4 linked regions of the Elephas maximus indicus genome follow. The protein of the gene in region 3 interacts with the protein of the main gene of each other region in a biochemical or structural test. Links are inferred from orthologs where the notes say so. Each region holds a gene or a part of one and is shown on either strand. Other genes may lie near its edges. The genes, in order: MAGI3, HTRA1, RPS6KA1 and PDZRN3.

The links.
Region 1: the proteins of RPS6KA1 (region 3) and MAGI3 interact in a test that uses a peptide from one of them, tested with the Homo sapiens proteins (2 studies listed by BioGRID and IntAct). The link is inferred for Elephas maximus indicus from reciprocal best matches to the Homo sapiens genes RPS6KA1 and MAGI3.
Region 2: the proteins of RPS6KA1 (region 3) and HTRA1 interact in a test that uses a peptide from one of them, tested with the Homo sapiens proteins (2 studies listed by BioGRID and IntAct, with this or other methods). The link is inferred for Elephas maximus indicus from reciprocal best matches to the Homo sapiens genes RPS6KA1 and HTRA1.
Region 4: the proteins of RPS6KA1 (region 3) and PDZRN3 interact in a test that uses a peptide from one of them, tested with the Homo sapiens proteins (2 studies listed by BioGRID and IntAct, with this or other methods). The link is inferred for Elephas maximus indicus from reciprocal best matches to the Homo sapiens genes RPS6KA1 and PDZRN3.

The regions. Positions count from the first base shown.
Region 1 is NC_064821.1:167,277,062-167,284,666, reverse strand, and holds the start of MAGI3 (membrane-associated guanylate kinase, WW and PDZ domain-containing protein 3), read left to right. Parts: upstream 1-4,592; 5' UTR 4,593-4,725; coding exon 4,726-5,041; intron 5,042-7,605.
Region 2 is NC_064834.1:72,799,206-72,806,796, forward strand, and holds the start of HTRA1 (serine protease HTRA1), read left to right. Parts: upstream 1-4,574; 5' UTR 4,575-4,644; coding exon 4,645-5,131; intron 5,132-7,591. UniProt on the Homo sapiens protein: Serine protease with a variety of targets, including extracellular matrix proteins such as fibronectin. HTRA1-generated fibronectin fragments further induce synovial cells to up-regulate MMP1 and MMP3 production.
Region 3 is NC_064821.1:67,007,249-67,014,182, reverse strand, and holds the start of RPS6KA1 (ribosomal protein S6 kinase alpha-1), read right to left. Parts: upstream 3,014-6,934; 5' UTR 2,850-3,013; coding exon 2,715-2,849; intron 1,895-2,714; coding exon 1,778-1,894; intron 1,596-1,777; coding exon 1,514-1,595; intron 364-1,513; coding exon 283-363; intron 108-282; coding exon 28-107; intron 1-27. UniProt on the Homo sapiens protein: Serine/threonine-protein kinase that acts downstream of ERK (MAPK1/ERK2 and MAPK3/ERK1) signaling and mediates mitogenic and stress-induced activation of the transcription factors CREB1, ETV1/ER81 and NR4A1/NUR77, regulates translation through RPS6 and EIF4B phosphorylation, and mediates cellular proliferation, survival, and differentiation by modulating mTOR signaling and repressing pro-apoptotic function of BAD and DAPK1.
Region 4 is NC_064838.1:21,232,629-21,240,566, forward strand, and holds the start of PDZRN3 (E3 ubiquitin-protein ligase PDZRN3), read right to left. Parts: upstream 3,014-7,938; 5' UTR 2,886-3,013; coding exon 2,163-2,885; intron 1-2,162. UniProt on the Homo sapiens protein: E3 ubiquitin-protein ligase. Plays an important role in regulating the surface level of MUSK on myotubes. Mediates the ubiquitination of MUSK, promoting its endocytosis and lysosomal degradation. Might contribute to terminal myogenic differentiation.

The sequences.
Region 1 (7,605 bases), about 100 Mb from region 3:
ATTAGAACAAACTAAAATAATAATTTACTGAGTGTTCGCTGTGTATCGGGCCCTATGTTACATAAGTGCTTGACCCAAATAACTTCATTCAATTCTCACAACAATCCAGTTAGGTAAGTGCTATTATCATATCCATTTTGTGGATGAGGAAACTGAGGTTAGGTGAAGTTAAATAACTTGCCTAAGGTTACAGGGGTAGTAAATAGACTGAGATTTGCATTCTGACTCCAGAGCTCAAGCTCCTAATCACTGCAGTTTTCTGCCTTAGAGTCCATATAACTTTTAATTCTTGGTGAAGGCATGTGGGGCACTGTTGGGTGCCTACTTGTCTTAGTCATTTAGTGCTGCTATAACAGAAATACCACAAGTGGATGGCTTTAACAAAGAGAAGTCTATTTTCTCACAGACCAGTAGACTAGAAGTCCAAATTCGAGGTGCCAGCTTCAGGGGAAGACTTTCTCTGTCAGCTGTGGAGGAAGGTTCTTATCATCAGTCTTCCCTTGGTCTGGGAGCATCTTGGCGCAGGAACCTCAGGTCCAAAGGACAGGCTCTGCTCCCGGCGCTGCTTTCTTGGTGGTATGAGGTCCCCCTGCCTCTCTGCTTGTTTCTCTTTTTTATATCTCAAAAGAGATTGTCTTAAGACACTAACTAATCTTGTAGACCTCATCAATATAACTGCTGCTAATCCATCTTATTACATTATAGTGATGGGATTTATAACACACATGGAAATCACATCAGATGATAAAATGGCAGACAATCATACAAGGGAATCATGACACAATTCAATCCATGACACTACTCAACAACATTCCCCCTTTTTCCTCTCTAACAGAACCCCCATTTTTTGGGGGGTGACCCATGATCAATTTAATGAACTGTGGCAATCTCATTTCCTTTTGCCAGTGACGGTCTGCAGTGGGCATGTGATCATTTTCTGGCCAATAAGGAAGATTCTACTGGGGGGCAGTTCTGGGAAAGATTTCTATCCTTCATAAAAATGGGAGCAGTACTCACTTTCCCCCCTTCCTGCTTTGGACAATGACCTCGTAGAATGTGATGTGTAGAGCTGTGGCAGCCACGGTACAACTAAAAGGTGACAAGCCTGGTGAAGAAAGTCAACATACATAAGATGGCAGGGAGCAAACACAGAAAGAACTTAGGTCCTTGAGACAACCTATATCTGAGCTTCATGTTAAAGACATAATAAACGTCCTTCTGCTTTAAGCTACTGCTAGTTGGATATTTGGAAACCCTAGTGGCGTAGCCGTTAAGTGCTACGGCTGCTAACCAAAAGGTCAGCAGTTTGAATCCGCCAGATGCTCCTTGGAAACCTTATGGAGCAGTTCTACTCTGCCCTAAAGGGTTGCTATGAGTCGGAATCGACTCAACGGCAGGTTTGGTTTTTGGTTTAGTTGGATATTCTGTTCCTTGTAGCTAATGACATTCTAATGATAGAATCTAGGCAGTGGAAAGAAGTTTTCCAGAATTGCAGTGAAAATAGATTATGTGGAGGTTATTAAAATCTGGTGGTGCAGTGGTTAAGAGCTACGACTGCAAACCAAAAGGTAGGCAGTTGAAGTCCATCAGCCACTCCTTGGAAACCTTATGGGGCAGTTCTACTCTGTCCTGCAGGGTCGCTATGAGTCAGAATCGATTCAACGGCAACAGTTTTTTTGCATTCTTTTAAATCAAGATTTCAAGGAGCCCTGGTGCCTCCGTGGTTAAGAGTTCGGCTGCTAACCAAAAAGCCAGCTTGTTCAAACCCACCAGCCACTCTGTGGGAGAAAGATGTGACAATCTGCTTCCGTAAAGATTTACAGCCTTGAAAATCTTGTGGGGCAGTTCTATTCTGTCCTATGGGGTCTCTATGAGTTGGAATCAACTCAACGGAGCTTTTTTTTTCCCCCAGTAAACCAAAAAGAAAGTTTTATTCGGCATATATCCAAAAAGGCAAAAGTGGGAAATTGGACAAGCATGTTGCTAGAGCCATGCGTGCCTGAGTCCACGGAAATATTACAGAATAGGCAAGAATGAGAAAACAGACAAGAATGCTGCTAGAGCCATGTCTGCCCAAGTCCGAGGAACATTACAGAAGGAAATGGATTTTTTAAAATCAAGATTTCATCCAGGAATCTGCTAGTGTAGGTGGTAGCTGGGTGGGGGGGGGGAGGGGGGGGACAGAACCCAACCACAATTTAAAAAAATTCCAACTATGTCTCAGATTAGGATAATCTGAACAATCCACATTGTATCTGTGCTGGATATTTCCTCTTTGTCCCGCCAGATGCAGTGTATCCTTTGTGAAACTGACTGAGGGGGACTATGTAAAGGGCTCCCTTGCCCTCTGGCTTCTGGTTGGATTTGGCCATTGGGATGCACCAGCAGGAGGAGATTGAAGGAGAGAGGTGAGTGAGATATAAACCTCCCAGCTTCCTCCATAAGTGATTACTTAGGCTGACTGCATCCCTTGACTGAAAGTCATGGACTCATGCCAAGGAGCCCTCTCTGTATCTGAGTTTTGGTAACTGTTTCTTCCTCTTGCCTCTATAGGTCTCCGAGCTTGTAGCCTCAGCGTTCCATGCTTCTCTTGTGGTTTCCCACACCCTGCCCACATCTTTGTAAAGTGCCATTTGTTTCCTGCCAGGACCCTGACTGATAAGATGGTGTGAATGAAATCACTGCAGCTGCTGAAGCTTGGTCCAGTCTATCTGAGATTTGATGAGGTTCTGTGTAGTTATTCATAGTTAAAAATGGGGTTTTCCCTACTGTTAAAAGGTGGTAGGAGTCTACCTAAATAAGTGCCATCCTGCAATGTGAAATAAAGTATCATAGCTCAAAGAAAACGCTTTTCACATGAGGATCAAATCAGAGACGGCTATGTGGAAGAGATAGCATTTGCAGTGAGGATGGAAAGGATTTTTAAATGAGATGGGATAAAGGGCATTCCAAACAGAGCCCAAAGACTGAGTCAAGCCAAGATGGAGAAAAAGGTCAAGGGGAGTTTCTCAAAAATTAGTGCTGGGAGGGACCTAAGATATTCATTATTCAATATTAGCTCTCCCTTCAGCTCCTTTACAGATGTGTAAACTTGAAGCTGAAATTTGGTCAAGGTCAAACAGCAAGCAAGGAGCATGCCATGACTCCAGCCAGGTAAGTGGGCTACCAGGCTAGCTTCTAATCCATCCTTCGCCCCCACCTCACTCCAGGCAGTCGGCTTACTTATCAGTCTCTCCCACTATATTGTTATGTCTTTGAGGGCAGATCCTCTGTTTTAGGTATTCTGGTACCCCAGTATCTAGCACAATTTCTATCTGACACAAAGTCACAGCCATTGCCGTCATCATTCTCTTATCAGCTACCAAATGTTAAGAAGCATTTAACCGCTGCCAGCCACCACGCTGATATTTTATATGTATCACATTTAATCTCCGCAGCAACTTGAAGGGGCAGGTATAATTATCTCCATTTTTTAGTCAAGAATGCTGCGGCTCAGAGAGGTTGCCTAATTTGCCCGAGGTCACACAGCAGTTAGGTGCAGGGCTCTATTTTACTTTCCATCAACCAGACTTCGGAGCCCAGGTCTCAATACCCAGTACCCCGTGCCATCGATGGCACACAAATAACATTTGTTGAATGAACAACAATCACGTAGGTAACCACCCTGGAGGTGCCACCACCTGGGAGCACGGACTCCGCACGTCGCCTCCTACCAGAATACAACGGGTTTCTCTCAGCGCCCGGCGCAGGCTCGAGGCTCCGCCCTCAAGCAGCCTGGCTCGCCAGCCACGCCCCTACCTCGGGGAGTTCGGTCGCTCCTCACATCCGAGTTTCCCCTTGGCTCTAGCGACCGTGCGGAGGGCCTCTCCCGGCCCTGCGACCTGGAGTCCACTCCAGTCCCCCGCCCACCCTCGCTCTCCAAACTTCTTTTTTCCACCCTCTCTAAACTTCAGTCATTCTAGTACCCGCCTCCTCCACTCCCATCGACCAATCGGTGGTCCTCGTTCTCCGTGAGGGCCCGCCCCCTGTGCACCGGGGGCCAATCCCCGACGTGAAAGTCGAGTGCTGGGGCTCGTTCCCAAGCGCTCGGCCTGTGACGGCAGCGCGCCGGGCGCCGCGCGGCGGGAGGGGGCGGGGTTCTGGATGAGGGCTGGGCGAGGGCGGGGGGAAGGGGAGAGGGCGGAGGAGGAGGTTGCGGCGGGTTTGAAAGCGGCAGTTTCCTGGCAGCCTGGGCAGGCGTTGGTCTCCGCTCTCCAGCGCCGCAGCGATCGAGACCGATCCAGCGACGGCTCCACGCGCGCTTCTGCGCGTCCCCGACGGATTTTTCACGTCCCAGCTCTTCCTCCTTCACCTCCCCGCCCCCTTGCCTCAGCCTTTCCCGCCGCTCGGGCGCGGAGCCCGGGGGCCAGCCGTCGGCAGTGACCCCGCCCGAAACCCCTTCTGGAGCCGCCCGGGGACAATTCCCTTCTCCTTTCTTCACCCTAATCCGGGGTGGCCCTCGCCGAGCCCGGTCAGCCCGGGGGAGCGCAGCCGGGAGAGGCGTCGGAGGGGCGCCTCGGGGCTTGGAGCGTCCCGGCCCCCAGCGGGCTGCGGTCGGGGGGCCGGGCGGCGAGGCCCCCCTCGCCGGGCTGCGCGGGCCGCCTGGGGTCCCCAGGCTGACAAGGGGCCGGAGCGGCGCCCCGGCCGCCCGCGCGGGGTCTCCCCCATGGTGCAGCGGGGTTCGGGATGTCGAAGACCCTGAAGAAGAAGAAGCACTGGCTCAGTAAGGTGCAGGAGTGCGCGGTGTCCTGGGCCGGGTCCCCGGGCGACCTGGGCGCAGAGATCCGGGGCGGCGCGGAGCGCGGCGAGTTCCCCTACCTGGGGCGGCTCCGGGAGGAGCCGGGCGGGGGCACCTGCTTCGTCGTCTCCGGCAAGGCGCCCAGCCCCGGGGATGTGCTGCTGGAGGTGAACGGGACGCCTGTCAGCGGGCTCACCAACCGGGATACCCTGGCTGTCATCCGCCACTTCCGCGAGCCTATCCGTCTCAAGACTGTGAAGCCAGGTACACCGGCCCTGCCTTCTGACGCGGGGGGCAGGGGGCCAGGGTGGGGGTCCTGGGAGCGGCGGCACCTCCCCCAGTTTTATCGTCCCGGGTAATCTTAGACCTCTAGGGTGTGCCTGACTCCTTGGAGGGGGAGGGGTGGCGGCGGTGATTCCCCTTTTGCCAGTAGGGAAACTGAGCTCTGACTTGGCAGGGCTGCTCTGTAAGCTGTCACAGAATTGTGACCAGAATCTAGGTTTCCTAAATTTGTAGCTCTGTCTCCCACCGCAGAGTTTTTGACTAGAAAAAGCTAGCTCTTTTCTGCTCTCCTTTGTGGAAAAGGTCCTCACGATTGTACCATTTTCTTTGGAACAGTCTTACGCATCTTCTAACGGGGGAGAAGCTTCTTACTATTAAGGCACTTGGTGCCAGGGTTAACCATCTAGTGTACCTAGGAGGGCTTAGCCGCTCCGGTGTTTCTTACACACTAGCAACATCTCAGAACTGACAGCCTAACTCTACCAGTTCAGGTGGCTCAGGTGACTGCGTACCGATCTGTGATGTGTGGCGGAGTGGTGTGTTCCTGCTTGGAGCTGTTGAATAGAATCTGGGTTTTGAACAAGACCATGGTGCCTAGCTGAGTAGAAGCTTTTGTAAATCTCTTGATTTTGCAGAATATTGTTGAAGGGATGGGTAAAAAAGAACCCATGTTTCCCTGGTGTCTTTTATGCTAGTAAAATCTGCTGCAAAGAACATTACGTTCATGGCATACTTGACGGTTTCAGAGCGTTGATCAGGCTGCACACAGTGAAATCTGTTAGTATGTAGTAGTCCTCGCATATTTTGTTATCCACAACATTGTTGGTTGTTTCAGCATTAGTATAATGTGTTTCTGTCATCTAAGATGTTTGTAGAAGGGAATTATGATTACAGGGTTATTAAAAATCACACTATTTTTGCTGAATGTGCTCTACTTAATATACCGTGCATTGAAATACAATGGGCTGCTGAATTTTGACTTGTATTAGAAATCAGGCCATCCTTTCACCGTAAAACGCTAGGAAAACCTAGGGAAGAATTTAGTATGTTATCTTTTTTTGTTTTGGTTGGTTGTTTTGTTTCGTTTTTTTCTTTTTCAGCAGCTCTCTTTGGACATATCTCTTTAATAGTCCCTGAGCTTAATCAGAACTGATGGCTTATGGTGCAATGTACGTGTGCGTGTATTGTGGATATACTTACACATACACTCACATGGTCCTACAATCTTAAGATTTTCATACTGTAGTCTACTCTATCATATTCATTTTAAGTTCATAGGTTTATGTTTTTAAAATGTTACTAAGTTTTTAAACTTTGGCAAATTTTAAACATCCTTTTTTGTATAGTTTTGTGAATTCCAAAATTCTTTCTTAACTCAGACTTATATAGAACCTTATGTAAAAGGTCATGAAAAGACTTCGGGGCTATAATTCAGCCAGTGAGACACTGTGTGTAATATGCAAAGTGGTATCTACATAGCATTGACTAGCCTAGGTGCCATTTAGTTCAGATCCCACGAGTGAAGGAATAATGAGAACATCTGCATCATTGCCTTGTGTTTTGTTTTGATTAGTTGGGGCATGGATGAGGTTATAGCTGTTCTTTTCAGAAATAGGCTTAACGTTGATACGTTGATGAGGAAGCTGATGCATTTTCAAATTATTATGATTCTTTTAGAAAACTGGGAAGATGTATTGTTAACATCAGCCTGGTCTGCATGTTATACATTTTCTCAACCTCTATATCAAATTCAGGAAAATGATTAAAGGTTTAGAGTGTGCTCAGTAATACTGTGCTGAATAAATATTTTATTCTCAGAATGTAGTTGAAATTTTTATAGTAGAAAAAATTTGCTTTTTTAACAACCAAAGACACTGTCCTATTTTAAAAGTTTAGTCAAAATAAAAGTAATAATTTGTATTAATGGGTATAGCACATTTTGTAATTATTAATAATAAATATACTTATTTTAATAATATATTTTTTAAAAATACATTCCACTTCAGTAATTTCTAAAGGATACTACTACATCTGTGTCATCCAAAATTAATACTCGTGTTTCTAAACAAGTTGTAATTTTAAAATTTTAATTGCTTAAAAAAAATCATAGTCTTAATTTCTTAATAGTCTCATGTTAGGTATTTAAATGGATTTCTTAAATGGCTTTGCTTAAAAGCAACATTTATTATAAGATAGCAAGGTTTTTGCAGGTTAAACACAAGACTTTAAATATTAGAAATTAAGAATTTGAAGAGGTTTTTTGTAGAACTTTGTGAGTGATTAAAAACAGCGTAAGTATTATCTCCAGGGAAGACAAAGATTCTTTACTGTTGTGATTAATTTTCAAAAGGTTGAAAATACAGAGTAAAAGAATTTAAAAAGGAACTTGCCCTTCACATTGTTTTTTCCTTTTGTCTAAAATTTGTGAGATAAATGGATTTTTAAATTAGCAAGGTATTATAAAGTGTACTTAGCATTCTGTCCCTTGTCTTGACTAGTGACTGTTTATTAAACTATATTTGTAACATATCATTTAGAAACTAGCA
Region 2 (7,591 bases), on a different chromosome or scaffold from region 3:
TTATCCTATTAGGCTACGTTAACTGCATCTTTGATTTAATTCAAAATGCTCCTTAACCTAAAATATAATAGTGTGTCTATTTAAAAATCCATGTTGCTGAGTCCATTTTTCTCAATCCATACTGCAGCAAGGCCATTCTGCCAAAAGGGATCTCCTTAAAAGCCAGAGGGAACTTTCCCAGCAGCAGCAGTGCAGAGTCTGAATATTTTAGGAGGCATCTATAGGGTTGCTATGAGTCAGAATCAAGTCGAGGGTGGTGGGTTAGAGCCCTAGCAATCTGGCCCAGGCTTCTTCCCCTCCAACTGTCTCTCCGGCCCTTAGGACCACTTTCCTGCTGAAGCCAAATGTATGGGCTCGCAGTACATACCCCAACTGTGTGCTTCCCCTGTTCCTGTACGTCTGATGAAATCCTCCCCTCCCTGGGGATGATGATCCTTGTCACCTCCTCTTAACTTCTCTAAGGAGCCCAGGTGATACAGTGGTTAAGCCCACCAGCTGCTCCATGGGAGAAAGATGTGGCAGTCTGCTCCTGTAGATTACAGCCTTGGAAGCCCTATGGGGCAGTTCTACTCTGTCCTGTAGGGTTGCTATGAGTCAGAATCCATTGGGCAGCAACAGGTACAGGGCTTAACTTCCCTGATTCCTCTCCCCCACTTTAGTCCCTTCTTTCGCCCCGCATGTGTTTTCTTATCCCTGGAGGACACCTGTCTAGAAGGGCAAGTTGAGTCTTTTGTACATTTTGGAGAACAATGGCAGCCCAGCTCCAAATGGGAGGTCTTTGCCCTACTGAGTTGCACAAACATGGCTGCTCTGTTCCAATTTAGAAGCCTCATTTCCTGAGTAAGGCTTTGGCAGTCACGGTGTTTCATTGTTCATCGTTCATGAATAGGCTTGACTGTGTTCAGAATTAAAGCTTAACCGCTACAAATTAGGGCCACTGAAAGGATGTCTGGGAATTGGCCTGTGTGGCTTCAGACCTGCCCCTTTTCTGGAAAAGTCTTCCTGAAGAATTCATGCCAAACCCTGGTCAGTGGAAAATTAGTTTTTATAATAAAAAAAAAAAAAAATTTAATAAGGAGCACTGGTGGCTCAATAGTTAAACACTGGGCTGCTGACTGAACGGTGGCTGGTTCGAATCCACCCAGTGGCTCCTCAGGGGAAAGACCTGGCAATCTGCTCCCTAAAGATGACAGCCATACAGAAAATCCTATGGGACCCTGTCCTATAGGGTCACCATGAGTCGAAATTGACTCGACGGCACACAACAACATCAAAAAAGTACGTCTTTTCAGAAACCGTCTTTATAAATGGCATCAGAGAGGGAGGGATCTAAACGAGAGGAAGAACAAAACTTTCAGATCAAAAGCATTGCTTCTGGATGCAGGGGCTTTAGAACTAAGGGAAAATCAAAAAGGGCCACGATTCCAGGTGTCTACGGGTTTGCTGTTTCCTCCCATATGTACACATGCATGTATACACGCGAGCACACACACAGCACCCTCTCACAGGGCGGTTCAGGGCTCCTATAATCCTTCCAGGAGGACGTTGATTTTTCTAATGCAGCTTCAAGGAGCTTGCTGGGAGCCCTCCACTGAGTGGCTTGTCGTCTTGGTGATCCGTGTTCTCAGCAGAGCAGATGGGTGAAGCCGCTCACAACTGTGAGATGGTCTGTGATGTGAGCATATTGAAGACCCGTCTTCCTATAACCTGGGAGGTGCAGTCTCCACTGTTCTCCTGGTGAAGGTCTGGAGGTTCTTTTTTTTAAATTGTATTTTAGATGAAGGTTTACAGAACAAACTAGTTTTTCATTAAACAGTTAGTACACATACTGTTTTATGACACTAGTTAACTACCCCACAACATGTCAACACTCTCCCTTCTCAACCTTGGGTTCCCTGTCACCAGCTTTCCTGTCCCCTCCTCCCTTCTAGTCCTTGCCCCTGGGCTGGTGTGCCCCTTCAGTCTTGTTTTGTTTTATGCGCCTGTCCAATCTTTGGCTGAAGGGTGAACCTCAGGAGTGACTTCATTACTGAGCTAAAGGGTGTCCGGGGGCCATGCTTTTGGGGTTTCTCCAACCTCTGTCAGGCCAGCACGTCTGGTCTTCCTTTTTCAGTTAGAATTTTGTTGTATATTTTTCTCCAGCTCTGTCCAGGACCCTGTATTGTCAACCCTGTCAGAGGAGTCAGTGGTTGTAGCTGGGCACCAGCTAGTTGTACTGGATTCAGTCTGGTGGAGGCTGTGGTAGATGTGGGGTCTGGAGGTTCCTAAACAATTTGTCCAGAGTCAAAGAGTTAGGGGCCAGAAGTGGGATTCGAACCCAAGCCCACCAGACAGCACAGCTCCTGCCTACTACACTAGGCCATCCTAGCCCTGGAGGGGAGAAAGTGTGTTCTAGGGACTAGTGTTCCCGCAGGCAGAGAATTTACACAGGAAGGTATGCTCCAGAAAATGCAAGTTGTTTCGTACGTACTGAGGGGGGCGAAGTGTGAAAGTGTGTGTGTGTGGGGTGGGGGTGATGGGGGATGGGGTAGACAATGGGGTCAGGGGGTGATGAGGACGGAGTGGGGACTCTCAGGGACTTGTTCTCTGACACGAAGGTGCTTGGAGGCCCATCCGGAGGCAACAGTGAGCTGTGGTCCCACGTGGGTCGGACTCTCGTCTGGCCGGGTGGCTGCAGAGCGGACGAGGCAGACTTGCAGACAGCTTTAGAAGGTGTTCTGGCTCCATCGCCCTTAATTTGTGATGTGTTGCTGGGGAGTCGCTTCTACTCTTGGGTCCTCAGTTTTCTCATCTGTAAAATGAGGGAATTAAAAGCAAGTTTTCGCCACTATCAAAAACTAACTGAACCAGTTGCCAAGTCTAGTCATTTCCCACTGAAGAATCCTGCGGCCCCGTGTGTTTCAGAGTAGAACTTCCACCCACAGGAATTTCAGGGGCTACGATCTTTCAGAAGTGGATTGCCAGGCCTTTCTTCTGAGGTGCTTCTGGGTGAATTTCGGTTACACCACCCAGGACCTCTGTGTTTCACTACAGGCCCCTTTTATTTCCTCTCCCCACTGGACTACACAGTTTGAGAAGCTTTTTGTTTGCAGATCTACTTTGTTAAGTAATTATCTTATCCCCTCCTTTTTTTAAGTTTTTTTTTTTTGTTAATCACAGCTACCTCCTCACTACACTCAGAACTTCTGATCAGCGGGAGGTGTCTGCTCTCTCAGGATGGGGCTGAGTGAATTTTGGGTCAAGGCCTCACTTCCCACAAGGATCAGGTCCCAGCTTTAGGAGGCACAGTCTGCGGAGCCAGCTAGGTACCCCATAGTCTTTCCCTTGCCCCAGGCCACGTGACCTGCTGTCTCTGCCCCATGGTCCCAGGCATCCCTCTGGATCCTGGAGGCTAACAAGGCTTACTTTCTGGAGTTGCTTTGAGGAGGGCTATAAATATTTGAGTTCTATCTTTTAAACTATTGGGAAAGTAATGCAGAAGGAAACAATCCAAAAACAGAGAAGTGGAAAATCCCTAAGGCGCCCCGGCCCCAGGATCGGCAGTCTGCCCACTGCCTTTGGGCGCCTCTGCAAGGCCCAGCACGCAGTGAACCCACCTCCCACCTGGCCTTGGGTAAAGGCTTTGCCCATCTCCTAGGGGCCGGCCAAGAGGAGACTGCCGGTCGTGGGCCCGATGCCACCTGGGCAGAAGGACCTGCCTCTGGACTGGCCCCTGCCCCTCTTGAGGACTGGCATCTGTTTCCAAAAAAAAAAAAATTTTTTTTTTTTAAAGGTTGCACCAAAGCCTGTAAGGGGAGCTCAAAGGCGATCTCTTACTTAATAGCAAAAAGATTTTGCGATAATACCAGCACGTGGTGAAAAACGGTAACAGGACAAAGCTCTTCTCCCCAGCAGCCCCTTGTGATCCCTCCCTACCCCCGTTACCACTAGCCTCCCAGGTCTCCATCGGGAGAGATTCTGGGCAGGTAAAAACACGCATCCCACCCAGAACAACTTTTTAAAGACTCCTCGGACACAAATGATAGTATTCTAAATGTTTCTCTTTGCTTTGTCACTTAACCTTGCATCTCGGTGCTGGCCTTTGCCAGCCCTGCGAGGGCCGTCTTTTTTGTTAAAGGGGCACGGGGTCCACGGCCACGGTTCCGCGTGCTGGGCACCAGGGTCACTTCCAGCGAGGCGCTTGCCCTCCTCCTCTGGAGCGCGTGACCCCAGGCCAGTGGTCCCCACCTCCACAATTTGCGGAACGTTACCTCGGCTTCCCCTTTGCAATCTGCTTTTTAGAGTTCTGGTCCGGAGTTGAAGCGTCAGTACCAAAGAAGGGAGACTATGTTGGGGGGAGGGGGAACACCTGGGAAACTGAGGCCGGAGGGGGGACGGATCCGCCCACCAACTGGCGGTGCTTGGGCGCGCCCGCCCTGCCCTCGCCGCGGGCGGCCCCGCTCCAGCCATCCGGCCGGCCCCCTCCCGGGCGCCGTGCCCATCCCCAAGGCGGCTCGTCACTGCTACGAGGCCAATAGGCTGGGCTGCCGGCAAAGCACCCTCGCGCCGCTCCCCCAGTCCCGGCCCGGCCCCCGGCACCGCCTCCTGCGTTCTCCCCGGCGCCGCTCCCGGCCCGGCCCAGCTACCGCCGCCGTCGGAGCCGCCATGCAGCCCCCACGCGCCACGCTGCTCCCGCCGCTGCTGCTGCTGCTGCTCGCCGTGTGCGCCCGGGCGCAGCTGCCCCGGTTTGGCCGCTCTGCACCCGTACCCGCGGGCCCGGCCACCGGCTGCCCCGCGCGCTGCGAGTCGGCGCGGTGCGCCCCGCCACCCGTGTACTGTGAGGCTGGCCGTGTCCGCGACGCGTGCGGCTGCTGCGAGGTGTGCGGCGCGGCCGAGGGCGAGGGGTGCGGCCCGCAGGAGGGTCCGTGCGGCGAGGGGCTGCAGTGCGTGGTGCCCTTCGGGGTACCCGTCTCGGCCACCGTGCGACGGCGCGCGCAGGCCGGCCTCTGCGTGTGCGCCAGCAGCGACCCGGTGTGCGGCAGCGACGGCAGCACTTATGCCAACCTGTGCCAGCTGCGTGCCGCCAGCCACCGCGCCGAGAGGCAGCGCCAGCCGCCGGTCATCGTCCTGCAGCGCGGCGCCTGCGGCCAAGGTACCGCTTCGCCGGGACAGGCGGGCCAGCTAAGGGGCGACGAGGGTTGGCGGGGGCTTTGAGCACCTACTTGCCGGGACAGACGCGCAGCGGCTCCCTTGTGGCAGCGGTGCGCGGGCTCCCTCGGACCGAGCTTTGTGCTCAGCCCTGGGCCGGTTCCGCGGCCCGGTGCCCGGCGCGCAGAAGGCACATAGCGCCGGGGACCCGGGACAAATAAGACGGAGGAATGTGGGCATGAAGGGAGGAGAGAAGTTCGCGACTGGGGACGGCGCCTGCAAAGACCAAGTCGGAGGCATTAGGACCACAAGGACGCGTTTCTGTTGCTCCGCTTCCGTATAACTCTGTCTCCCTAGCCCCTATATCCTTTAATGACCATGCTTTAATTTTATTATGGACCCTCTCGGTGAAAACTTTATTTACTACTACTTTTTTTTTTTTTTTTTTTTGAAAGAAACAGATTCCGTTACCCGAACCACGTCCCAGTCCTCCTAGATGTTGGGGACTGGTTTGGTAGCTGCCAGGCATCTCGGTTGCTGGCTGCCTGTCTTTCTTGGCTTGTTTAGACCCAACCCGACAGAAATGAAAGTGGCTCTTTTTGGATAAGCTGAACGGGGCTTTGGATCAGGAAATCTGCCGCGGCAGAGCAGGGAGCTGGGAGGAGAGAGGGGCAGTTCTTCTCTGTCCCGCTGCATCTACGGGACTCGGCTCGCGGGCGAGGTGCTGGGGATGGGGTGAGGAAGGTTCGTGGAGAAATCTTCCAATTCTTTCACGGCCTTCCGGAGAGATACTTCTTCTCTTCAGGCGGAGAGACCATGTGGAAAAACCAGAGTTCAGCTGCGGCCAGGCCAGCTGTGTCCACAGGCACCGGCCAGCCGTGCTTGGCCGTGCGCTTGGCGGCAACCAGGGGCTGTCGCCGGGCCCAGCACGGCCTCCCCAGCGCAGGCGCAGCGGGGCGGGGCGGGCGGGGAGGGGGAAGGGAAGCCCGGTGCCGAGGGGCTGGCCCAGAGTTTCTTTACCAGAATGTGGTCCAGCATGGCCAGCTAAGGCCCGCGGCATTTTCGCTCACAAGGAGAGCAAGGTGCCAGAGCCATCGGGGGAAAAATTGGAGATTGTGTATTCTGTCACAGCGCGGGAGCAAGGAACCAGCCTCAGCCTAGTTTAGGGGCGGAGGAGGGTTAACCTGGGGAGCAATGAAGGTGCTGTGTTAGGTTCCAGCGGCTCAAAGAAAGCCTGGTGGTGGGACTAACCCAGCAGGAGAAGACAGACCATCCTGGTAAGGAGAGTCTGCATTTCCTAGCACCGCTGTAACAAATACCACAAGTACCCGATACCTTGCCGTGGAGTCGACTCATACCACAAGCGGATGGCTTTGAAGAACAGAAATTCATTTTCTCACAGCTTAGGAGGGTAAACGTCCAAATTCAGAGTGTCGTTCTAGGGGGAGGTTCTCTGTCTATTTCAGCGGCTGGTAGCAATCCTTGGTTCCCCAGCATCTCCGCATCTCCACGTGTCACCTTTCTTTTCCTGTTTGTGCTTCCTTGTCTCTTTGTCTGTCCTGCTCACATCACTTAAATGTGATTAGGCTTAAGACACACCCTACCCTGACATGCCCTCATTAACACAGCAAAGAAAACCCTATTTCCCGATAGGATTATATCCACAGGTATAGGGGTTAGGATGCCAACGTATTTGGGGGGGACATAATTCACGGTGGGGAGTTAAGGCTGCTGCGATATGGGCACGAGGTGAAGGCTTTGAGAAAGCGTCCTGCGTATTTTGTCAAAACGAAAGCAGCTGTTCTGTGTATGCCCCCCACTGCACAGGGTTCCTGGCACCACGCGAGCCGCCTAATTTATTGCCAGTGAGGCAGTCACTTAAGGAGCTTAAGAGCTGGCAGAGTCTTTCATTTTTGGCTGGGGAGGGTCACTGGCCATCCCAGAAACCTCCAGAAGAGCTGTAAATAGGTTGATTAGGGCCTAAAATAGCTGCATTCGGTGAGGCATTATGGCGGGACCATGAGCTCACCGTGGTCATAGTGCTGGACACCTCGACACAGTGGACTGGATCTGGCATCTGTTTGGAGCTCCAGTCTCCTGGATGTGGTTCTGTGCCTTGGATTCAGAAATCAGACTTTCCATGAGCTTATGCTTCAAGTGAACAAATAGCTCTGGTCAGGCTTCATATTAAGAAGAAATCAAGCTTGGCAGCGGGTGAGGGTTTCTTGGGAGGCCAGCTGGGATGGAGACCTGGCTCTGGCCCTTCCTGGGGTGTTACCTGACCAGGTGACTGTGGCCTGTTCACCTCTGGGAGTCTCAGACCTGAGGGGATTTGACCAAAGGGTCTCTGAGGTCCCTTCTAGACGCAACAGTTTGATTCTTAAAAGAAAACACTGTCTGAAGAGGTCGTGGTCACCTTGCCCTTGTTTGAAAGGCTGGGTTTGCTTCTTTAAGAGTTACTCCT
Region 3 (6,934 bases):
TCCTCTGGTAGGGGGGTGCTGGCTCACCTCCTTAGAGAGCCGTGTGAAGAGGTCTCCGCCACGCAGGAAGTCCAGAATGAGATAGAGCTTGCCCTCGGTCTGGAAGGCTGGGGAGAGGGGAAGATGCAATGGTAGAGCCAGCTAGGCTCTGGAACCTACTCCCCTGCCTCCTCCCGCTCTCTTGGCCTGCTTGGTGGGAGGTGCCATAAGGTACAGGGAAGGCAGCACCCCAGAGGCAAGGGTGAAGGCTGGTGAGCAGGGCAGGTAGGTCTGTGGTCTCACCGTAGTGCAGCTTCACCACAAATGGGTGGTTGACGTCAGCCAGGATGTCTCTCTCCATCTTGGTCCGGACCCGGTCACGGACTGGCCAGAGGAGAAAGGCCGTCACGCTAGAGCCCTCCCAGTAGTCCAGCCACCCACATAGCCAGCCACTCTCCAAACCCTGGCTAAGAAGGACCCTCTTTTCTACTTGTTCTTCCAGGTCTGAGCTCCCGGAGCTTCCTCCCCAGGGCTTGTGGGCACACTCAATCTTCAGGTTTCTTCCTTTGCTCTTATTCTGTGTCTGGCTCCTTGGTTTGCTTCCTGTCCCTGCCCCTTATGCAAGGTCCAGGGATGGGCCCTTGGCCCCCTGCCCATCTCTCCAGTCTGACGGTCTTTTAGCTTCTCCTGCCCAGCCTAGGAGGCCTTCCCGGGCAGGGACCAAATGTCTTCATCTTTCTCCTTCCCTGTGGCTCCCACCATCCCTCCTGGGGAATGACTCCCATCCCTACCTCAGGTTGGCCCAGAGGCACCAAAGCTACCAACACTCCAGACAGCCCTTCATGGGCCACATGATCCATAACATCTCTAAGGCCTCCTATTGCCCCCACTTCACTTGGTCAGCAGCCACACTGGTTCCCGAACCAATCAAAGAGTCAATGTCCAGCCCAAAGCCCTCCACCAACCACCCGCACACCCCTTGTAAGTCCTCAAAATGCTAGACTTTGGCTCATGCTCCCTCTGAACCCCTGTGCCATCCATCTCCATGGCCCTGCCTCAACCTCACCTTCTCTTGGCCCACCTGGCTCCCTGGGTTCCTGCCTCTTCTCTCATGCCCTTCTCCTCCAATGAGTCCAGAGAGGTCTCCCCAAATTTTACTGACAGTTAGAACACCTCTGCCTAACCATATTAGAGGGCCCCCACCACACCACAAACACATTGCATTTGCCCCACTACCTTCTTCTAGACAACCACCTTCAGCCTTAGCCATTGGCATGTGGCTTCATTAGTGATGGTGGGGATCAGGTGGAGGGTTAACGGCTTGAAGTCTTTTCTTCTAAGTGGACCCTGTCTTCCCCATCAGGTGGGGTGGGATGGCAGGCAGCTGAGAGTAGGCCGGTTTCTCCTCCCTCAGACTAGGTGCTCCTGAGAATAGGGCTACCTCTCCCATCAGACCAAAGGCCCTGAGGACTAGGCTGTCTCCATCAACCCTGTGCCCAGCCTGGGCTCGCATGGGGAGGTGCTCCCCACTCACCTTTCAGTGTTGCCTTCTTCAGTACCTTCATAGCATATAGATGTCCGCTATCAGGTCGGGTGACCTTCCTTACCAGGAAGACCTGGGAAGGCAGTGGGAGAAAAGCCCATCAACCCTTGCCCCTGATCCCTTGAGCACAAAGGTGACCCCTCACCCCAGTGACCCCAGAAGTTACTCTTCTCACTCTGGGCTCTGAGGTGACCCCTCACCTCCCACCTCTGACATGGCCAGTGCTGCCCTCCCAGCTGTGGGCTCAGAACTTACTTTGCCAAAGGATCCCTGGCCCAGAACCTTGAGGAGCTCGAAATGGGATGGGTCAGCCTTCTCAGAGCCAGCCTTGACATGGTGTGTGATGGAGATCTCCTTGAGGATGCCCTCATCCTGGTGGGGAGACAGAGTCGGTGAGCATGGAGGCACCGTCCCCCAAATCCAAGTCCATTCCCAGCAGATTTCACCAGACAGGGCCGCACAGGCCTGACCAGACAGCCACCCTAATACAGTCAGCCTCCAGTTCACCGAACCAAAAAGGGCCTCAAAGGTCAGAGAGGGTCAAACCACCAAGGTGTTCCTGTTTTCTTGCTGCTCTGGCCTGGGATGCCCAGGCATGGGCAGGAGGGAATCCCCCAACCCCAGGCTCTGGCTGAGGCCCGTAGTAGGCCTGCCCCAGGCCCTCCCTGTGGGGCTCCCCTCCCCCTGCTGCAAAGGTTTTTGGTTTTACCACAATAGGAAGTAGGGTTTGTTCTCATAGTGGGGAGGTGGAGTTGAGCCTTTGTTCCTGATCAGGATGGGAAACGGGGGGATCCCTCTGGCAGGTAGGACAGGGCTGAAGTACACAGAGACCTAAGCGTCATCTGGGACTCTACCACCAACCCAGTAAGTGCCAACATGGGGCGGTTGGGAGTTAACGCCAGACTCAATGCCCTCCCTCCCAAACTTCCCTCATACAAGCCTATGAGAAGCCCCTTGCCAGGTCCTGGCTATTCTAGGACCCCTCTTCCCTTCCTCCAACCTACTACCATTGCCCTAGAGCCCTGAAGCGCCTCTTCACTTTCCCAGGAAGCAACTCTGGGCAGGGTTCAGCCATCCAACACAGCCAGGCCTGGGCTAGGACAGTCCAAAGCCAGCTTAGGCCAAACTGGCTGCCTAGGCACCTGCTCCCAGGGCCATAGCTGGGCAGGGCCAGACATCTGGACATACTCACCGAGTCCCGCCGGGGGCCAGAGCCAGGGCCTGAGGCAGGCAGCGAGGTCTGGCTGATCCTGGGCCGCTGCTTCCTGGGCAGCCAGGGGAGCAGGGCCCAAAGCCGCAGACGGGGCGACTTGGGATCCTGCTCCATTCGCCCGGCAGGGCCGTGGCACCATGGCAGGAGCAGGCAGAGTCGGGGCTGCCGCGGAGGTGGCCAGGCTCAAGGCGGATGTGCAGGGTGAGGGCGGGGGCTGGGCCTGGCCCAGGACCGCCAATCATTCAGGGCCTGTGGTTTCCCAGCTCCAGGCCTATACCCTCACCCTGTTCCCTTCCTCTCTCTCTTCTCCCCTCCCCAATGCTTGAGGGCTGCCCTCTGGCCCTCCTCCCACCCTCCCTGTTGGGCCTGTAAAGCGAAAGGCCCAGGCCAACCCATCTGCTGAGGAGTAGATAGGCACCCATCAGGCAGAGGTGAAGATATGCACTCATCAGGAGAGACAGAGACAGGAACTCTACAGCAGAGGCACGTGGAGGCAGATAAAGGGAGATACCCAAGAGACAGGGGCACGCACCCAAGAGGTGGAGAGAGATAAAGACAGGCATTCAACAGGCAGAGATGGACTAGGACATGTACTCAACAGGCAGAGACAGAAGGAGACTCATACTCAGCAGGAGGAGGCAGGAGGAAACACATACCCAACAGGTGGACACAGACAGGGACACGTACCCAAAAGGCACAGACAGAAAGGGGCACATGCAGAGGCAGATGGGGAAATATCCAATAGACAGAGGCAGATGGGGACACATATCCCACAGGTGGAGACAGACAGGAACATGAACCCAAGAAGTGGAGCTGGATGGGGACTCATAACCAACAGGCAGAGGCAGATGAGGACTCGTACCCAACTGGGAAATGGATAGCGACACACACCCAACAGGCAGAGGGGCAGATGGGGACTTGTACCCAACAGATGGAGACAGACAGGGACTTTCACCCAAGAGGCAGAGGCCGATGGGAACTTGTATCTAACAGGCAAGACAGATGTAGACACGTACCCAACAGGCAAAGACAGCTGGGACACATACCCAAGAGGCTGAGAAAGAGGAGTTCCTGTATCCAACAGGCAGAGACAGAAGGTGACACGAGCCCAACAGGAAGAGACAAATGGGAACATGTATCTGATAGGTAAAGACAGACACAGGAACTCAATAGTTGAGGCAGACAGGTAGCAGACAGAGACAGTCAGAGTCAGTTAGGCCCAAGTAGACTGTCAGGCGCCCAGAGCAGATGAATGTGACAGCGAACAGACAGGCAGCAAGGCAGGGATCCCTAGGAAAGGGGGTCAGACCTTTCTGAGGGGCTGGAGGGTAGAATTCTGGGTTCTCGTTGGTTTGTCTAGGGAGGAGGAAGGGTAAGGAGATATAACAGCAAACCCCCACGACTCAGGAGAGTAGCCCAGTATTCATGGCAGACCCAACAATGAGGTTTTCCGTTTCCCTCAGATTTTCTTCCTACGCCAGAGCCTGAGGAGGCCCAGGACTAAGACAGTGGGCTGAGAGACCATCTCCTGATGTCATCTGATGACTTTGACTCTGACCCAAAATATCCCAAAAACCATTATCTCCATTTTGAGAACAAGAAACTGAGGCCCAGAGAAGGACAGTGACTCACCCAGACTCAAAACGAGCCAAGCGGCAGAGTCGGCTTGAACCCAAGTCCCTCCCCTGGTTTCTGCCTGGCCTTTAGTGCCAGGAAAGGGTGGGCAGGTAAGTCAGCCAGAGCCACTTCCTGCCCACCCCAGCCTGCCCCCACCCTCACCATTAGGATCAGCCTGGGGACTTCCCACTCTAGGTCCTGACCCTCAGAGACACAGCCCCATCTTCAGAGGACTCTCCCTGACAGATGGGGGAGTGGGTGTAGCAGCCACTGAAAGCTGCAGGCTAATCGGGCCCCTGAGTATAAACCCCTGGAGGGACAGGCAGAAAGCCTGGCTCAGAGAGAGGCGGGGGTGGGCCAAGAAAACAGCAATGCCTGCTAACCCCACTCTAAGATCTGAGCTTCCACCTCATCTGTCTGCCTCTGACTGAGAACACTCTCTGGGGGCAGAGGCAGCCACCCAGAAACCCCAGGGGACATAGCCACCCCCAAACCCAGTCCTCGCCCAGAGTTGTCGTGACAGACACTGTTGGAGGCAGGCCACCTCTCTGCTCACCTTTCTGGGACAGGGAACTGAGTCTCCCTCAAACCTGGGGAAGTCTGCCGGGGTCTGCATGGTGGGGCTCAAGCTGGTGGCCAGAGGGCCCCGTTACTCCCCTTACTTCTGCTTTTTTAGCCTTACCAGCCCAGAAGGCAGGGTCCATGGCCTCCCTCCTTCTCACTTCCCCCTCTGCTGGGAGGAGGGACAGAAGACGGGTCAGGCTCCCTGCCAAGGTGGGGATAGTGCAGACCCTAAACCCGAAGCCCCAAGGATGACTCGGGGATGCACCTCACTTGTCTCCCCGAAGGGGGAGACAGGATCACAGAAGTCACATAGAGATAACGCCGGGACACAGTAGACATCCCAGCACCCCCAAGAGGGGTCTGAGAGAATGGGAACAGAAATCAGCAAGGCCACAGCCTTGAACTACATAGCTCAGCACTTAGTTGGTCCAACTCCCGAGGACACTCCCTCCCCCATAGCAACCTTCATGGCTAGGCTCACCCGAAACATCAGCCCACAGAGCAAGCACCATACTCAGCCCTGCCCCTGCTCAGAGGCCCCATTCTCCAAGCCCTTCCTGAAGAAGCCTGCCAGTCTAAGACCCTGGGATGGACAATGGGGCAGAAGCCCCTAGACAAGGACCCTGGCTGCCCACTGGACAACTCAACACAGAGGTCTAGGTGGAGGAACAGGTGGCTGTGGGATAGGGGTGGACCAGGCCCTGCCCTTACCACGTGGCTCCACCTCCTCACTCATACCAGTACACCCACAGGAACTGACACGAGCGCGCACAGACACACACTCAGGCTGACGGCTGGAAACCATTTCCACAGACATCCCCTATGTGGAAATCCACACCCCCACGTACACACAGACTTCCCCTTCCCGGCTCTCGCAGGGCCTCCAATAACAACATTCTCTGACAGGTGGCGTCCTGGCGGGGGTTGTGAAAGATGTTCCCCTTAACTGAGGCCTCTCATTGCCACCCAGAGTCCTCAGGCCAGGACTTGGGGGCCAGGGCAGCCCTGAGAGCCTTAGAACGTCTGGTCGGTCCAGCAACAGAGGAGGGGCCAGTGCCAGCTTGGCCTCTCCCCCAGCCCGCCCCCTAGAAGCAGAGGAAGAACTTCTATGGCCAGCACACTACAGGAACGGGCAACAGGAAGGAAACAGTTTCAGAACTGCCTTCACAGAAGGATGTTTGGAGGGGCTGTGCGGCCTCTGGTGATGGGAGGGGGAGGACAGGCACCAGCCCACATCCCCTTGGTCCCGGACCCTTTCTCCCCTCATAGACACTTCCTCTTTATTTACTTCCTCCCACACAGCAGCTGGGAGAGAAGCCCAGAGCCCCCTAGCCTGATCCCTGGCCACCAAGGCCCCCACCCTGGGCCTCCCTCCACCAGCTGCAGCTCAAGCCCACCTGCCTGCCCCTGGCTCTAATGGACACCAACAGCCCCTTCCCTAGCTGGCAGCATCTACATGGCCTCCTAGACATGGGCCCCTCTGGTGGGACAGATGTCCCCAGATACATCTCCCAGCATACTTCTGGGCAGGTGAGGAGGAGTCCCTAGTCCCAGGCCTCCTTGAGTGGGGAGGTGGCCTCAGGCCCTAGGCCAGGACTGGCTTATAGTAACGAGGGGAACTGTACTTTCTATCACTTAAGCGCTTCTCGCATGCAGCCATTCTTTCCTGCAATCTTTGATGATGTGGGTTCTGCGAGGCCCTAGCACTGGAGCTGAGATCCTGGGTCTCAGCTCCCGGGGAGGTATCTGTCATCTCCATTTCAAAGATAAGGACACTAGACTCAGAGACAGTGACTTGCCCAAGTTCACACCGCTAGAAAAGGATAGTGCGAAGAGCAAATTCAAAGTCTGTCTGCTTCCAAAGCCCCCACTTAAGAATTTCGTTGTCACCCTCCCAGCAAGGCCAGCCTGGCCCCTCTCTGCACATCACTCACACTGCTGGCCCCTACTCTGTCCCAGGCCAGAGGTGGACACCAGGAGGCAGAAATGTTAAGGTAGACCCTAGCCTTGTCCTCAGA
Region 4 (7,938 bases), on a different chromosome or scaffold from region 3:
ATTCTGAAAAAGCTTATCCAAACACTCCAGAATGAAAACAGAAAGGCAAGAAAAAATAATAAACCAGCTGAAAACAATGAATGATGTATAAACTCTGGGGGAGTGAATGGCTTATTTATAAATCAGCATTACTTAAAACTACGCAGGAAGTCCAGATGACAGCATAAACAGGGGGAACTTGGGAACTCCTTCACCCCAAACCTGGCGCCTTCTTGAAGCCCCAGCTTTGCCCTCAGTTTTGGTGACTCGCCTACTCACACCCGTCTTTTGAGCGCCTGTGCGGTCCCGGGTGAGCCGCGGAGCTGTAAATATTTGCCCTTCGCCCAGAGCTGGCCAGCTGCTGGGGCTGCAGCTGACAGACAGGCTGGGGGCCAGGAAGGGAGAGAGTCAGAAAACTTGCAGGCCTGGTGTGCACGCATGAGAGGGGGGATGGGAGGGGACAGGGAGAAGCAAAGCAGATGTAGGCCCTGGGGGCTCTTGGACAAATATGTACCCTTCTCAGCCATGCCATCTGGGGCAGGGCAACCAGAGTGGCAGCAGCATGGCCCATGCCCCTCCCCAGTGAGGCAGAAGCACCCAACTGTTGAAAATGTGGCCTCTGCAATCAGGGAAACCAGTGGTTCTCAGCTGGGGTGATTTTTTTCCCCCCAGAGGACACTCGGCAATGTCTAGAGGTATATCTGATTGTCACGATGGGCAGGGGGTGGGGGGGATTGATTGCTACTGGCATCTAGTGGGTAGAGACCAGGGATACTGCTGAACCACCTACAATGCACCAGACAGTCCCCCACAACATAAGCCCAAAATGTCAATAGTGCCAAGGTTAGGCACTCCGAGGTAGACCCTGAATCCTAGCCGTGCTTCAAGGCACTGCTTGAGGTGGACAAGTTATATAACCTTCCTGAGCCTGTTTCCTCATCTTGAAGGAATAAACAGATAATACATGTAAACTGCTTAGTGCAGTTGCTGGCACATAATAAACACTCAGTAAATGGCACTTGTGGTTACACTGGGAGGCAACAATAGTGGTTAAAAGCTTGAGCTGGAGAGACATGCACACGTGAGTTCAAAACCCAGCACTAGCACCTAAAAGCTCTGTGACTGTGGACACACGCTATGTTACTTGATTAAAAAGGGAACGACTAGGAAGTGCCTAGCACAGTGCCTGGAGCAAAGTAAGCACTGGCCAGCGGTGGCTGTTCTAATTATCACCATTTTTTTTTTACCAGGGCAAGGGGATGACTCCAGAGGGTGATGTCAGAAAGGACTGCAGGGCAGCACCTGAGGATTTACTCTCCACTGGGCACACTGCCAGGTCAGGTCCTTTTCAAACCTTCCCTCCTTGAACTCTGACAACCTATTTTACCTTTAGGGAGACTGAAGCACCTGGTGATTAAGTCCCAAAGTCACTCGGCTGGTTAACAGAACGCTCTGAAAACAGTTCTAATGCTAGTAGGCTCATTCTTGATTACTTTACACTGGGTGGCAGGTCCTTTAATTCCTTCTGGAATCCCTGGACGAATACTCCAAAGGGTGCCTGGCTGTGCTGTACCCTGCCCCACGCACGTCTCTACAGACCACAGTTTCCAACTTTAGAGAGATTAATTTAAGCAGCTTGCTCAAGGTCACCCAGCTAGTTGGCAGCAAAGCCCACATCTGAATCCAGCTTTTACTCCAGAGGCCTCTTTTCTGTCATCCTTAGCTCACACCACTATGGCTGTGGGTTCCTACTCTTTCTAGAATCCCTGAGGGTGCATGGATACAGTTTACCCTGTGTGTCACGTCTGCAGGGACCATGGTGTCCAACCTTAACAGAGATTAAGCAACTTCCCCAAGATCAACCAACTGGTCTGAGCAGAAAAATCTTTGAATACAGTTCTGACTCTGGAGCTGCACTCGATTCTTACTCTAAACTTCGTTGTGGATTTTTTCACTCTTCCAGAAACCCTGAAGGTATGCAGCTATACTTCACCGTGTGTCTTGTCTACAAAGACTATGGTTCCAAGCTTAGACAGGTTCAGCGACCTGCTCCTGGTGATAAAGCTGGCAAGACGAGGGAGGCAGGGATGCTCGTGGGATGCTCCTGGCATCCTTGTACCCTAAAGGACCGAGCGGGGCCCTGGGTGCCTAGGAGGGGGTCGGGGCGGGCGGCGAGCGCCTACCTTGCCGCCGGGAGGTGCGGCCACGCAGCGGCTGAGCGAGTCGAGGCGCGCACTGTACTCGGTGAACTTCTTCTGGTAGCGCAACGCCGTCATCTGCAACTCGAGCTGCGCCGCGGCCAGCTGCGCCACTAGCGACTTCTCGCGCTTGCCTGCGCGGAGCGCCTCCTTCTTGAGCGCCTTGTGCAGCGCGCCCAGGCGGGCCTGCAGCGCTCCGTTGTGCGCCCGCAGCGCCCGCGCGCAGCAGTGGCCGCCTGCGCGCTGCTCGCCGTGCGTCAGGGGCAGCCCGCAGCCCTCCTGGCAGCGGCCCACGGGCCGCGCGTCGCACGCCTCGCGCATGTGCGCTTCCACGTCGCGTCGCAGCAGCACCTGGCCGCAGCCCGGGTGGCGGCAGCGTGCGGGCGCGAAGTCGCAGCGCTCGGCGTGCTCGGGCAGCTGCTGCAGCTTGACCACCCGGCCGCAGCCGCGCGCCGCGTGCGCGCACTTGATGTCCAGCTTGAGGATGAGGCGCTTGAGCGGCAGGACGTGGTTGAGTTCCTTGGCCGACAGGCGACCGCGGCAGCGCGCAGGGCAGCTACCCTCCTGCACCACCCAGGGCAACACGCAACCGGCGCAGAAGACGTGGCCGCACGGCGTGGTCAGGGGGTCCTCCAGGACCTTGTGGCACAGCGCGCACTTCAGGTCCGGGTCCACGTCGCCGTCGAAGCGGTCCAGCTCGAAGCCCATGGTGGCGGCCGGGGCCCGGGGTCGCCGCCGGGCGGCCGGCCGCCCCCTCCCTCCCTGCGAGGCGGCCCAGACACGCCGGCTGCGCCGCCCGCTCGCTCGCTCGCTCGCTCTCCCCGGACTGAGCCTAATTGCTCCAGACTTCCTCGGAAAATGCCCGAGGAACAGGACTCCTCCGGCCGTATTTGCGCTAGCGCGAGCGCACACTCATCCTGTCTTGGCGGTCTCCCTCCCGCCCCTGCAAAAGGGAGGAGGCCGGAAGGCAAAGGAGGGTGGGGAGATCTGGAGCCTCGCCAAGGGCGACTGGCCCGCCCAGAACTTCAGCCTGAGCCCTGCTCACCGGGGCTCTTCTCCGACCTTCTGCAGTTTTTGATATAGGAGATAAAATGCCAGCCGAGAAAAGTTTACTGAGGTTGGAGCTGTGGCTGCTGCTTTCGCTCAGAAGAGTTCTCCTGGAGCCCGTGCCGGGATTGATCAAGACTGTTTACTCCCCCTTTCCCCCTTTTTTCTTTGTGACAGATTGCAAAGGGCGAAAACATTCGGGTCCCGCTCTCCTAGCACTTACGGCCGTTATTTATTTATTACCAGGGAAAGTTACCTAGCCTGCGGGACGTTCCTGCTGCAACTCCAGTTCCGATCAGAGGTTCTGCGGGCTCTGGAACAGGCGGGCGGAGGTTTCCAGGGCCCAGGACCATGCTGCGGAGGCGTGAGCTGCCCGGCCGCTGAGGGATGGGAGAGGCGGACGTGCCGGCTCGGTCCACTTCTCCCAGTACCTCGAGTGTCCGCACTGTGTGGCGCGGGCTGTGCTGGGCGCTTTTAAATTGGCCCCTTGAAAAATCATCAATACAATGCTGTGAGAGAGTGTTAGCTCCATTTACCAATTATTTTTCCGCGATTACAAAAGAAATGACGCTGAGTGGTAAAAAGTTAACTGCACAAGTCCCCGCATTATCCCCCACCATCAGGTTACCTGCGTTCCTTCAGTTTTGTTTTGTTTCCTATGTGTATACTTTGTTCTGCTTCCATTTTACCTTTGGAAGCTTAGGCCGGGAGGAGACAAAAATTTGTCTAGGATTCTGTAGAGCAGTGTTTTCTCAAATTTGAATGTCGTTTCAGATTCTGATCCAGGAGGTCTGGGGCGGAGCCTGAGAGCCTGCACGTGTAACAAGCTCCCAGGTGATGCTGGCCTGTTTTCTTCTACGCTGGGGTAGCTTTTCAGGCAGTACCGTGAGCTTGACTGGGTAGTTTTCAGCAATACTCCTGAGTGTAAAAGGAACACTCTTGGGTTTCAAACCTAGGTGGAAAATTCCTAGCATCGTCCATGGATTTGGAGATTTTTCTTTCTCCAAAGGCTCTAGACATTCCTAAGAAATGTGCAGTCAGAGTCTGTGAGAATGAAATGAAGCTATGGAATTCTCATTTGGAATCCACTGGCAGTTTCTGAAGACTGAAGTGGAAAAGTTGCAGCCCAGTGTTTTAGCATGACTCTGGGGGCCTGGAAAGTGGGATTATAACTTCCATTTTGTCTAACTGCTGTTTCTTCTCTCCTTTATGTGGCTGCTAAAACTCTGTGACCGACACTATTTAACTGCTTCATCGGAGTGAAAGGATTGCCTTGATGTCCATAATGATTATTTGTTTCAAACTGACCTTTAAAACGTTGTCATTGACTGGATTTTTTTGGCATGTTGTTGAGTTCACTAGATGACCGTCTTTAATCGGCCTTGGTGGTGTTTGTCTATTTGTAGTAGAGACTTTCTTTTAATATCTTTCATCAATTCATGCATTTCTTTGATAGCACATGGGTGGAGTATCACTGGCCAGTGTTCAGATAAGCATGTGGTAGGAATCTCCCATCAGTGTATTCATTAAGCTGCTCACAGGCTCTCAGATAATGGGTAAGAAAGAAATGCTTTCAACAAGTGTGTGGGCTTGTCAGTTTCACAGGGTGGGCCAGTGTCAACAGGGTGGTAATCTTCAAACCAAACTGGTTTTGAGAAACAGCGAAAGCTCTCAAAAGCTCATACACCATAAACGGGAAATTTGTGCTTACTTTTGGTGTACTCTTGAGAGCGGTCCCACCACCCCTTTGTGGCCCCACAGATGGCTGAACGAGGGGTTGTTGATGAAGGGCTACAGCTGAGGCTGCCGAGAGCTATAGCCTACTGCTGTGCGTTGACCTCTTTCGGCAAAAGGAAAGTCTGTTAAAACCACTCCTCTTTGGCTAATTTTAGTATTGAAATCCCTGGAGCTCAGCAAAAAATAAATAATAAACAGAACACATAACATTCTGGAGCACTGGTGGCACAGTGGTTAAGAGCTATGGTTGCCAACCAAAAAGTCAGCAGTACAAATCCACCAGCTGCTCCTTGGAAACCCCATGGGGCAGTTCTGCTCCGTACTATACAGTATCTATGAGTCAGAATCAACCATGCATATTTTCCAGTCTTTGAATGTTACAGACAGTACAACTAAGGGTCAGAAAGGCTAAGAGAGAGAACAATTTAGGGCAGGGTTTCTCAATCTCAGCACTACAGACATCTGGATCATGGGGGCTGTCCTGTGCATTAGAGGGTATTTAACAGCATCCCTGTTCTCTACCCACTAGATGCCAATAGCACAACCCCACATACCCTGTCATAACAGCCAAAAATATCTCCAGATATTGCCAAGTGTCCCTTAAGGGCAAAATTGACTCCGGTATTGAGAACCACAGTTTTTTTTGTTCATTGCCAAAGTCAGGCAGTCCTAGCGGCCCATGTCCTCTGCTGGCTGGGGAAAGACCAGGTGAACGCAGCATAGTGAGAGCAACCTGGCACTAATGGATGTGAAGAAAAACTGTGGAAGGGGGATGTTTAGTGTGATAGACCTTCCAAGAAAAGGAGCTGATTTCTCCTGACATGGATTAGGAGCTTGGTCACCTCTAGAGCATCTGGGGGTGGTGGTGGTTGTTCGCTGCCATCAGGTTGGCCCCCGACTGGACTCATTGCAACCCCATGCACAAAACACCACCTGGTCCTGTGCCATCCCCGTTATTGGTTGTAGATAGGACCATTATGATCCACAGGGTTTGCACTGGCTGATTTTTGGAAGTAGATTGCCAGGCCTTTCTTCCTAGTCCATCTTAGCCTGGAAGCTCTGCTGAAACCCGTTCAGCATCATAGCAGTATGCAAGCCTCCACTGGGGTGGGGGTGTTTCTATAGGGATGAATTCTTGTCGACAGGCGGATTGGTCACTTTGAAAACTACTCTTGCTGCCTTCCACCACTGCTCCATTTTCCCATCAGATTCTGCAATTTCTAGCCAAGATGTGGTCCCAAGCCCAACAGAAATGTGATTTTTGTATTTCCCACCATCACCCTCTAGTGTTAAACTCTGTTCTTCCGGGCCTTCCCATCAGCATGTTTAATCAGAAGATGCTAATATTAACTACCATCTACTGAGCTCAACTTGGTGCCAAGCAACCTGCTCAGCACTTGATGGGCATTATTAATCCTCACAGCACACCAGGTAGATGTGTTGTTAGCCTCTGTTCACAGATGAAGAAACTGGTTTACAAAAGTTGAACGTAAGTTATCCAAATGGCAGCTGGGAATGTAAACAGGTGGATTCCAGAACCCGCACTCATAACCACTGTTGGCATTATGCTGCCTCCTCTAGAACCCCTTCCTCGGGAGACACTACCTTACAAACAATTCCGTTCATCTCGCCACATCTCCGTCTTTACTTATCTCACTTTTCCCTGCACCAGTCCTCCACTGGCCCTAGAGACCTGATAATTTGTGGGTTCAGAACTAGAAAAAGGAAAAAAGTCAAGGTTGTTTGTTTCTTTGGTGGCTTCCCGAGGCCTAAATAAATGATGCTGAAATGGTATCATTGAATTAGATTAATCAGCATCTTTTACGAACGGGAATTGCTGCCAGAGAGCCATTCGCAAACAAGCGTGAAATATTTCAATCAGATTGTTTGTCTCCTGACAAAGTTAATGCCAAGTCATTCTGGGGGCCTGGGAGATTTGTTTGTCCTTGGGTGGAAGCTGGCAAAGAGAGGTATGTAATTTTCGATCCTGGAGACTTTAAAAGACTTGGTTGAGTAAGTCAGGCTGACCTGTCACAGTCGGGGGCATTGGGTAGAAGAACAGGGTGAGTTGGAAAAATGCTTCTTACACATTTGTGCAAAAGTCTGGTGCTGCACATTGGTGAGACCCCCTTCCCTGTCATCCACATAGGGATTACCTCCACAGCACTTGTACATCCCCTTGGGTAACATTCATCATGTTTGACATATCTTAATTTATTCAATAATTATTTATTTAGTAGCTACTAAATGCTAAGTGGAAGAAAGGCCTAGTGGTCTAAAAAAAAAAAATGGTCTACTTCTGAAAAATCAACTATTGAAAGCTCTGTGGAGCACAGTTCGAGTCTGACACACATGGCGTCTCCATGAGCTGGAATCAACTCGACGGCAACTGATTTGGCTTCTTTAGTTTGCATGCTAAGTAGGTCTACTCTAATGCCAGTGCTGCAGAGGTGAACAAGTTGGTCAGTGTCTCTGCCCTTGTGGAACCCTCTTTATAGGGGAGGAGGAGGCAAATATCAATGAACAAATACGTAACTGAGATATTTATGGAATGGGATTAAGCATACTAAAGCAGCACTACTGAGAGTGTGATCTAGGTTCCAGAAACGTGGACATCACCTGTGAGCTTGTTGGAAATACAAAATCTCAGGCCCCACCCTGGTCCTACTGAGTTAAAATCTGCATTTTAATAAGATCCCTAACTGATTTGCAAGCAACTGAAGTTGGAGAAAGGAGCCCTGGTGGCCACCAGTTCAAACTACCAGCCGCTCTGTGGGAGAAAGATGGGGCAGCTTGCTCCCAGAAAGACTACAGCCTTGGAAACCCTATGGGGCAGCTATGAGTTGGAATCGACCCAAAGACACACAACAACAACAACAAAGATAGAGAAGCACTGTTCTAAAGGACATAAACTGATGCGCTGGAGAGAAAAGAGAGGAGACCACGGCAGTCTGAGGAGGTGAGATGTGAGCGGTTA